2 linked regions of the Drosophila melanogaster genome follow. The protein of the gene in region 1 interacts with the protein of each later gene in a pairwise test. Each region holds a gene or a part of one and is shown in the gene's direction. Other genes may lie near its edges.

Region 1 (6,053 bases):
AAAGTTGTCTTACCTTGGCTGCAGCATCGTGGTGCCTTGGAGTAAAATATCAAATGATCTCTTAAAATTAGTCTATTTGCAGATATCATTTTTACTTAGAAATAAATTAAACGATACAAAATATTGATGTTGAATATCGGATTGTAATTATAAGGTGATATGAGAAAAGGGCCACCCTAATTTTCAGAATGGAAAGGCGAAAGATTTTTTCCTGTCCATACGTTTGTTTTCCAAATAGAATAATAGAAAATTGTATGCTGGAAATGCGCCTGTTATCTTCCCAAATACATCATCTAAACACTTTAGAGTTACTTTGGATTAAGATATATTATATTGAGCCAATATCGCAGAAACTGCGATGTCACTATGATAATCTACTCTGTGGGGTGAGGGATTGTTTTAAAATTTCCGGACGCACCTTTCGAGCACAGTCACTTCTCACAAACTAAATTAATATAAAACAGTTGACTGATTGTTAGGTAAGAGGTAATGCTTATCGCTCACATGTAGATTTATTTCTCCCTAGAGTATTTAAGACATTCGCTGAGTGCTCTAAGCTTGCAGTAAGTGCGCTGAACTGAAACAGCTTATTACAAGATGCATCCCCAGACAAAGGATGAGGATGTTAGCCAAAAACAGGTCACCATTCCGGATTGGGTTAAGCCAACAGTCTTTGAGGAGCTGCTTAAAAGGATTGTCAAGGATTACAAAGCAACGAAATCCATGAGGGCAAATGCAGGAGTCGCTGCTGGCGAAAACTATGCCACCGTAATGCTTAGAATTGAACTGGATGTTGAGAAAGAAGGTTCGTTAAATTCATTCTATAGGACTAATGAATTAGGGTATCAGCGTATTTGAACTGAAATTATCTTTCAATTATTGTAAACCTTGCAGATAACACTCAAACAACCAAGGCATTTATGCTTAAAACTCCCCATCAGTCAGAGCAGTATCGTAAAGTAATCGAGAAGACAGATATCTTCGATGTGGAGCGAGGAATGTATGTGGAAGTAGTGCCCGAGCTGGAGCAACTGTATCGCGATGTGGGATTGGAGGTCAAATTTGGAGCTGAACTCTACGACATAGAGGCCAGCGACTACTACGTCCTGCTGGAGGATCTTCGGCCACGTGGATTCGGGAACATAGATCGCCTCGAAGGCATGGACCAGGCTCACACCGAATGTGTTCTCAAGAAATTTGCCCAATGGCATGCGGCCTCTGCCGTTCGCGTAGAAACAAAGGGTCCTTATCAGGAGAAGTACACAAAGGGTTTTTTAAGGAACGAGGAAATCGTAGATGCCTTTATTAATCGGAGCATAAAAGTTTTTCTGGATAACGTCCATCTGTGCAAGGGTTACGAAACTTATCTAAATGATCTGGTGGGTAATTTATCTTTTGATATTCGTATCTTCAAGTCTTCTATCTTATCATTAATTACAGCGCATTGTCTCCGGCAAGACATTCGAAATTGTGGAGAGCCTCAACAATCCGAGTCCTGATGAATTTATTGCGTTAAACCATGGCGATGGTTGGGCCAACAACATTATGTCCCAGTACAATACGAAAGGCGAGATACAGGATACCTACTTTGTCGATCTGCAAGTCCCTAAGTGGGGATCAGTGACCCAGGATCTATACTACTTTCTTTTGTCCTCTACAAGCTTGGACATAAAAACATCAAAGTTTGATTACTTCATATGGTTTTACCACTCCGAATTGGTAAAGCATCTGAAATTGCTTGGATATTCGAAAACTCTTCCCACTTTAAGAAGAATTAACGACGCTCTCAACAAATACAGTGGATGGTGTAAGTTTTCAATCGTTACTTAATCATTAGTTCAGATCTTATAAAAAAAAACATTTCAGCGTTCATCTGCACCGCAACTATATTGGCATATGTCCTCCTGGATCCCGTGGACGGAGCCGATTTTGATAAGGTTCTTGGTGATGACGACTGTAGCTTTAAGAACTCGCTATACATTAATCCCAGATTTCGCAAACATATGGAGGTTCTATTGCCATGGCTTCAGCATCGCGGAGCTATGGAATAGATACTTAGAATGCACAATATTAAATCGTATGGCGTATAACGAAAAAATTACACTCAAGGTTTATATATACAGTATAGTAGAAGTAGCATATTGTGTAATATCTAATAAAGACCTAACTAGTGTTTAACAAACATTGTGGTTAATAAAAAACTTGTTCCGGAGTTTACATATAGGTAAATATAACTATAAGTATAGTTATAAGCATTTTTTTTTATGGTCATACAATTATTTTTATTGTCTTTAAATACTTACACTTATATGACAGACAAGCTTCTATATGGGTATAAATGCATCCCCCCACGTTTGTTTTGGTCTATATGTATGTATCACTCGAGACTTTGAAAACAAGTTGTTTTGAGAACTCTCCATATCCAGCACTCTCTTTGTTTTCCGACAAGCTTTTGGAGCTTTCGTATTGGCATTTGTTTTGGTAGCAAACAAAGATACAGAGAAAAAAAGTTTTGCTCACATGTTTGTACGGGACCAGCCGGCAAATAAACTCTTAGTTTGCTTAGAATGACGGCTGAGACAGGAACAGCGCCTATGCCCACCTGGCTGAGAGCAAATCTATTCGAAGAATTGCTAAGTAAACGTTACGGCGGCAATTATGCCGGAATCAAAAGTTTCAAGCCGGAAGCCGGGCTCAAGCCGGGAGAAAACTACTCCACAATTATGCTGCGCCTCAAGCTTGAAGTCGAACTGCAGGGTGAGTGTGAGTCACAGGTGAACAATGGAAAGTCAAGCAGAAATTTCCATCATCAGATCACACAATCGAAAATGTGAGCTATATGCTGAAGACTCCCTATGATTTCGAGATGTATCGCGAGATTCTGAGGAAGAACAACATGTTTGCTGTGGAGAGGGATGTGTTCATTCAGGTGATTCCCGAGCTGGAACAGATGTACAAGGATGTGGGCGTGGAGGTCAAGTTTGGGGCCAAGGCTTATGAAATCGACGCGCCCGATGATTACGTACTTCTGCAGGATCTGGGTCCTTTGGGTTTCAGGAACGTCGATCGCCTGGAGGGCCTAGACATGGTTCACACCAAGTGTGTTCTAAAGAAGATGGCCCAGTGGCATGCGGTATCGGCCACCAGGATCCATCTCAAGGGTCCGTACCCCCAGAACTACTTGCAACCCACGTACGCCGATACCATGAAGGAGAGCATCGAACAGGTGGCTGAAACCTTGGGCAAGTATTTCCTCAAGTGCCTGCCACTCTACGAGGGTTACGAGGAGTACAGTGCGGCGGTTGTATGTTTCTTTAGCTATATGCACCAATTGGTTGCACGGTTCATCACAAAATAATCTATTTGTACAGCACAAGATGCAACCTAAAATCGTCGACCTTATGTATGCTATGAACACGCCCGATCCGCAGGACTTCAATGCTCTGAATCATGGAGATTGCTGGACCAGCAACATCATGTTTAAGTACGAGGACGAGTCGCCCGAACCGATCGAGACATATTTCGTGGATCTCCAACTGCCCAAGGTCACGAGCGTGGCATATGATCTGATCTATTTCCTCCTGGGCTCGACGAAATTCGAAATCCAATTGAGTCAGTTCGATTACTTCATCAAGTACTACCACGATCACCTGGTCGAGCACTTGAGAATGCTGAACTACCCCGAAGCAAAAACCCCCACGTTGGGGTTCCTCCATACTCAGCTATTGAAATATGGACGAGTTGGTAAGTGGAAACCTCGCTCTGCAAAGCTGTAGATAACCAAGTTCTGATTTCTTTTCCAATCGTAGGGTATCACATTGCTTTTATTCTCTGCCCACCAGTGCTGCTCGATCGGACTGAAGATGCAAATCTGACCGATTTCGTCACCGAGACGGATAATGGCGATGGTCTAAAGTTGGCTATGTACTCCAATGCCCGATATAAGAAGCACGTTAGCGCCATTCTCAAATGGTTGAACAATCGAGGGGCCTTCCAGTGCTAGTTCGCTATACATTATATATATATAAAGAATACTATTGCTAAAGTGATTCCTAACGTTCTCTGGGAAAGAAAATTTGTAATACCATGACATATAAAATGTACTGCTTTCAATAAAATACTAATGCACGAATTTTAAGAATAAAATATGCTTGTAACTGAGCAATGATTATTCAGTGAAGTATAGAAGTTTCTCATTAGACGGATGGTAAACATAATCTCATAAGCACACTTTTGTTTTTAAATGATGAGTATGTGAAAATATATTTAACTTCTAGCCGCTTTGTACTAGCCAGGCCTAATAATAAAACAAAACATAACTGCCCCATTAAAGCACAATCAAAGATAATCAAAATGCCGTTTGGTACCCATATAGACCAGCATTTTGTAGGATTAATAATATTCAAATAATTGTTTATTGAGTGCGTGGTGCTCGTGCGGAAACCGATGGTGAACTGTCTATCTACCCATCACATGTCACGCCCAAAAACACCAATTAATGAGGAATCACGAAATAATTAGAGCGAATGGCGAGCGCAAAGAGGAACTCGGGTGCCCGATCCCGATATGGAAGTCGAATCAGGAGCGGGAACAAGAAACTGTTTTCGTTATCAATCAAACAATTGACGGTGTTTGCGTCTCTATATCATATATCACACACCTCTCGCTCGGGCACGCTATCGCGCACCCACTCTCGCCAACGCCAATTGCCACTCTTTTGCCGGTTTTGGCGAACTGAATTACAAAAAAAAAAACTTCAATCGAATGCATGCGATAAGGAATTTCTTGGCCCATACCCAAATCGGGGCAATACCGCTGTTCCCGAGCACAACCACTCGTATTTCCCACTCGACAGTTGGCCGGATTGCAGTCGATCTATCAGTGCGCTCCGTTTACCAATTAAGGAAAAAGGTTTGCCACCGCTGTATGTGTTTTCGCATTGGGCCATTCACCGAATCTAGGGATCCGACCCGCCAGTTTTGACCAACCCCCAATAGTGCTATAAAAACATAGTTCAGATGGGACTAACATCTAGTATTCAAACTTTTCTTGTGGTGGAAAGAGCGACTAAGAGTGAAATTAGCTTATAAGCTAAGAAAGTGCATTGAAAATTGTTCAAAAATCAAAACTATCATTTCAGTTCGATTAGGTAGGATTCCCCGAATTGTGTTTCGTAATGTACTCCAAACTTATAACAAGTGTTTCATTCGGTGGCATGTGACCTGATTTACGATTTTTGCTCATTAATTTGCGATAATTCTGATAATTGCCTAATCAATAAAAGCCCCACCAAAGTTCGGTAATTACCCGTAATGGAATGACCACAAATCGTCAAATCACGTTTCTCCAACTATGTACTTCGATAAAGTTTTATCTTCACAATGATGCATTTCCCACGGAATTATTAGTATTACAAGTTTTCTAGTCTTATACACTTAAAAAAAATATAAAAATATCAGGTAGTGCAGCAACTCTTCTCAAGTATCGAAGAAAACACTTGAGAGTGGCATTAGCACTTCTAAGTATTAGCTTGAGTCATATGCTTACTGACTTTTCCAAGTGTGGAATAAAAGAAGTGCCACATATTGGGGTAATAATGACTTTTGCAGAGATAACTTCATGGGAAATCATTCAAAAGTTATTGCACTTAAGGTTATTTCATTTTTTTATTTTACTGTACCAATTAGTGTCCGTTATGATAATTTTCCGCCGACGCATTAGACTCAATTTCAAGATACTCAATTTGTCGGCACATTTGATATAATTCTCTAAAAATACACAAATCTTGAGACGTTCCTTATTGAATGGGCTGGGCCAAAAGCAGAACGGATTTTATTATTCAAATATTCCGCGCCTTTGGCAAAAACGGAAGAGTGGCGCCACCTATGCTTGATGTTGTCGAACAATCATTTCGTATACGACCTGTTAGCCATGCTAACAGTGAAGTTAAAGAATTTTATTCGTTGTTATCAGCACGACACTAATGCTATTTTAAATTAATTTTATGGCAGATTCATCATGTCTGAGGCCACCACCAATGGACACAATGAGGT
Region 2 (4,880 bases), on another chromosome or scaffold:
TACGCTGTGGTATTCGGAGGGTGAAGCTTCACCCTTCAAGCGGCGTTGCGACTACTCCATGGACAGCTACTCGAGGCTCGGCTGATAAGGGAAAAAGTAATAATAAATAAACGGATATATGAGTCGGCAATAGTTTTTCCAATTGCCGCGATAATAATCGACGTGAACAACAATGGTCTTTGTCCTGGTCATGCTCCTGCTGCTTGGGTGCCCACATAAAGAACAATCGCGAGCACGCGCCCAACGAAAATTACAGGATCATTTATGGCGAACGGGGCAACCGCCTGGTAGCAGTCTCTTGGTAGCACCCGCTGCAAAAACAACCCCGTGCTGACACAGCGTGTGTGTAAACACGTCGCAACAATTAGTTGCCCTTAACGAATCGACGGCGAACCGTCGTCTTCCGGTCAGGGTCCCGGAATGACATTAAGCTCCGATTAGTCACTTTCAAGTTGGTTAGGAGCCAAGCAGCTGCCTGCCATCCGCAACTCTCGCTCTTATTGTTGGTCCCCATATCTGTATTTGTCGCACAACTTTGTTGTGATTACGGCGATAAAGCGGCTCAAGTAAATCACAATAATACGACGGTCTAGTCTGGCCGACTCGGTTCGAAAGAAAGTGTGAATAGAGCCGGGCTCAACAATCAACAACAATAGATTCGCCGGACCGGACCATCAATGACAAATGTCTCTAGGATTATGAGTGGGCATGTGCATAAAAGTCAAAAGCAATAGAAATAAAAATTGTGTTCACGTCATGGGACATGTCAACAAAAACTGCCGAGAAGCAATTGCGCGACACTTTCTTGGGTGTAAATTAAGATACTTTATACTGGCCCTTGGTGAGGACCAAGCTGGTGGCCAGCTTGGGTTTTTGTGTATCACTCGATTGTATTTTGCTCTTTGCATGCGTCAGCTATATATTGAACCGCTAGCATATTCATTGATTTTCGAACAGTAATTCTGCAATATCATTGCCTGTTCAACTTCGTGGGACTAGCACAACCCATCTCTTGCCTCCCCGCACCGTCCCGCGAAGAAATGCCGTCACGTACGCGAGCCCCATCGTTCAACAAATAAAGAATGAACCGGATCCTCATCGTAATTATACTGATGCGTTAGCAAAATTGCTGTCAAATTATAGGAGGCCAGCTCTAAAATCGAGCGATCTTTTGAAGGTAGGTAGGAAATACGAAATTCAGTGGCCATTAAAGTTAATGATGGGTATTTATTTTCAAAAAAGCTTTTCATTCTAAACTCTTTTAGGGGTATATTAATAAGAGATTCCGACCAGCAGTGTCTTCATTGCATTTATCTTCATATTTTATAAAGCGCACATCGAGAACATGATAAATATTATTTCATAACAACTATTTTTATAAACAAACTTTTTTAAGAAACTCTGAATTGATGGAACCGAGATACATAAAAAACGGACTTACACCTTATCTATTCACAAAATACAGGAATTTGAATACTAAATTACACACATTACTCGAAGAGTAAAATGTTAAAGTAGATTCGTTGAAAAGTCTGGATCAGGTTCAATTGAAATGAATTAAAAAGAAATCAACAATTCGTTGTTATACCCGTTAAATGAATAAAACAGGTAACACAAAACTTTTCCTAACACTTTATTGAGGATCAATAACCGAGTCGGTATTGAGGAGCCAAAGAAGTTAACATTTTTTTGTAAATGCATTTTTCTCTGATCACAATTAATAATTATAACATCAAAAATTTTATAAAATCAAACTAAAGTAGTTAAAATCAAATACTTCCGTGAATTCGCTAAAATTTTTGAAACTCCAAAGCTGAATTTTATTTGGCTTAATTAAGAACACATGCTATTAACGGAGTACCCCTTATTAAATAGTCTCAGTGGCAATCGAATATAAGAAGGAACACTAAAAATGTGAAGGAAGTCGTTCTCTGAGAATTGTATATAAACGGTACGACTAATCCTATATTTTTAGAATGAACGGCTACTCTTGGCGTTAAATTCTCTGTATATAATTTTTGTATTTGCTAACAACATTTGCCAAACAATGGAGGATCTTTTAAACGAAGTTGTACCACAAGAAGATTTAGAAGTAAAAAATATTATTTTAGTTCTGATTGTTATAAAATAAATATTTTGCATTTGCTCCAGAGATTCGAAAAAAAGTATCATCACGAACTTGAGTTGGATGGTGAAGTTACCACAGACACAAAGTTTGAGTACGCATTCCTAAATCTAAAAACATTAAAATATCTCAATTCTTCTCAATTCTAATGACACAATAGGTACGCATTCTGTCTGGTCCGAAGTCGGTACACAAATGACGTTAGAAAGGTGACTCACTTTTAAAGCTGTAAAGATGTAAAAATATTATTTTATTTATAATCCAGGGAATTATGATTTTGGAGGAACTGGCTCGTACGCATCCAGATGGAAGGCGTGACTATATATATTATCTTGCGTTTGGTAATGCTCGTATCAAGGAGTATACGTCTGGCTTAAAATACTGCCGAGCTTTTCTTGACATCGAGTCAAATGATCAAGTTCGCTCCCTAGAGGTTAGTAAGGTCACTAAGGAAAGCAGCAATTTCTATATAATCTCCAATAGATTCAAATAATTTTTTGATCCAGAAAATTTTTATGACAACCAAAATCCCATGATCACAAAAGATGTGTCGTGTTAAATGTACATATATAATAATGAAAAACATATTCATGTGATCCTCACTAATGTACATACACTAAAATTCAATGTACGAATAATTACTAAATAACTTTACATATTTCAGGAATATATTAAAAAAGAAATCGATAAGGAAGTGGCAAAGGGTATGGTGGTTGCAGGCGGAGCAGCTTTAGTACTTGGCGGAATATTAGGACTTGGCATTGCTATGGCTAGAAAGTAATATTTTATACCAACACGTTTTTAACCGACAATGTTCTTTTAAAAACAAGCAGTTGAAAATTAAATATTTATGATTTAAATTAAATCTACATTGACTTAATTATTAATGCTATGTGTACATTGTTTATTTTTTAGTAAACAAAAACGGGAGAAATAGTAACGTCACCACTATTTAAGGAAAATAAAACATCGAAAGGTGCACATCAAGATGTTATGAAGTTTAATACTTGAAATATGTTAATTTACTACATCAACATTCTAATTAATCTTTATGTACGGTTAAATCAATAAATTATCCAATTGTTGCTTGTAGATCGTGTGTGTTAATTACATATGTTAAGGTATAGTGCTATGCCGACTCCGCTGAATTAAACTCCAACAATGCTTAAATCATCGGACTTCTGTTGTTTTTAGTCCATACAAAGAAGAACTTCGAAGGCGTAGTCTACCGAATCATCGCCCCGGCTGGGTGCAAAATAATATGATCTCCCTGGGTCCAGAAGACTGACCTCCAGTAATCCAAACTACTCTCTACTCCTTTCTAGTGAAATTGTATTTCGGATATTTTTTTTTAGACTCAGGATAGGTAGGATTAGCTAAGTGTTCCCATCTAAAATAACTATTTCTTCATGTCGCATATTTTTGTGAGTACGTACGGCTTTATCAAAATCGTAACACAAGGAACAGCAGATAGCCTTGAATAAAGGTTATGGGTGGAGCGCAGTTTTATACTGAATTTAATTCGGAGACTAGCTATATTTCAATAGTGGTAATACTTTGGACGTTGATAGGGGATATCAAGAAAGCACGCATTTCAATCCGGCTCTATCTCGTCAGCGAGTGTCGTGGTGTTCTTTTGAGGTTACAGCATTTGGGTGCTCATTCATATCTATGTGAATTTAAATGATAGCTATGGAAAATGATAGATAGGGAGTTTCTCTCAATGCACAACCCACAATGTCATTGGGGGGTGATAGTTGCTCACCCTGCCATGGTCCACGCGATTCCAAATTAATTATGCATTTGGCCGCTTTTATCCAATTGGGGTACGGAAGTTCTTGGATCAGCATGTAGTTTAAATTGGTGTTTCTACTTAAACATAATTTGATTTTATTACTGATCTATTGATTAATATTGATATTTTTTCATTCTATACCTAACCGTTCTAATTCCTGTAATAATTCTACACTTGTTCGTCTTCCGTTCGATATCATTTTCATTTATTATTTACTACATATGATACTCGAAAACATTAGGTAATTTAAAAGTAAGACTTTCTTGGCTCCATTGCATAAATATTTATAAAAACATTTAAATTTAGTTTATTTCACTTCAATAGACTTACGCAATGATTAGGTTTTAAATTTGAAAACAAACAAAAGCAAAATGAGCATACATATGTGGACATTTCGAGCATACGTTTGGTTATATATTGAACTGCCAGACAGTTAATAAATTGGTTGGTCATTAAAATCCACTAATGAAAGAGATTCACCTTATCTTATTCGGCTTACTTATTCGTTCGTGAGCAGTAAACTGTAAATCTTCTTTTTAACCAAGCTCTCTATCTCTAAACTATCCCAAACCTTTTGACTTCAATATTTGATTTGGTTGGTTTATATGAGCTCATTTTGCGTAAAGTTTGGGATGAGACATATTTTTAATACAAATCAACTAAAAGTGTAAATCAAAATCACTTTTCATCCAAGCCATATGGCCAGGAACTTAACCCGGATTTCTATCCGAGCCCCGCTCAGTATAGTTATTAGAGGCCCACAATTTTTTTTAGTGTTAGTTAAGTTTTAATTTTATTTCAAGTAATGGTTTTGTTAATCTCCCTATGTAGACGATATAATAAAAAAAGCCTTTTTAAATCTTCCAGAAATAGGATAGGCCAAGCGAAGATCCATAAATTTGGGTTTGCAAAGGAGAAAAGAAGGGTCCGCAATGACTTATGGAATTTTCCCGTTGGACG

Evidence for each region. The genes of interacting proteins can lie anywhere in the genome.
Region 2: the proteins of CG10559 (region 1) and Fis1 interact in a two-hybrid assay, tested with the Drosophila melanogaster proteins (one large-scale study listed by BioGRID).

What each region holds. Positions count from the first base shown.
Region 1 is NT_033777.3:25,312,619-25,318,671, reverse strand, and holds CG10559 (uncharacterized protein), read left to right. Parts: upstream 1-2,555; 5' UTR 2,556-2,567; coding exon 2,568-2,757; intron 2,758-2,813; coding exon 2,814-3,304; intron 3,305-3,371; coding exon 3,372-3,744; intron 3,745-3,809; coding exon 3,810-4,003; 3' UTR 4,004-4,178; downstream 4,179-6,053. Other genes in the region: CG10560 (uncharacterized protein), read left to right, coding at 1-45; CG10553 (uncharacterized protein), read left to right, coding at 598-805, 895-1,379, 1,441-1,807, 1,867-2,051; CG31087 (uncharacterized protein), read left to right, coding at 6,019-6,053.
Region 2 is NT_033778.4:5,601,922-5,606,801, reverse strand, and holds Fis1 (Fission, mitochondrial 1), read left to right. Parts: upstream 1-1,967; 5' UTR 1,968-2,047; coding exon 2,048-2,092; exon of another isoform or gene 2,093-2,151; coding exon 2,152-2,219; exon of another isoform or gene 2,220-2,285; coding exon 2,286-2,334; intron 2,335-2,390; coding exon 2,391-2,558; intron 2,559-2,789; coding exon 2,790-2,902; coding exon of another isoform or gene 2,903-2,906; exon of another isoform or gene 2,907-3,007; intron 3,008-3,040; coding exon 3,041-3,062; 3' UTR 3,063-3,215; downstream 3,216-4,880. UniProt on the Drosophila melanogaster protein: Involved in the fragmentation of the mitochondrial network and its perinuclear clustering. Functions downstream of Pink1 and upstream of Drp1 to regulate mitochondrial fission.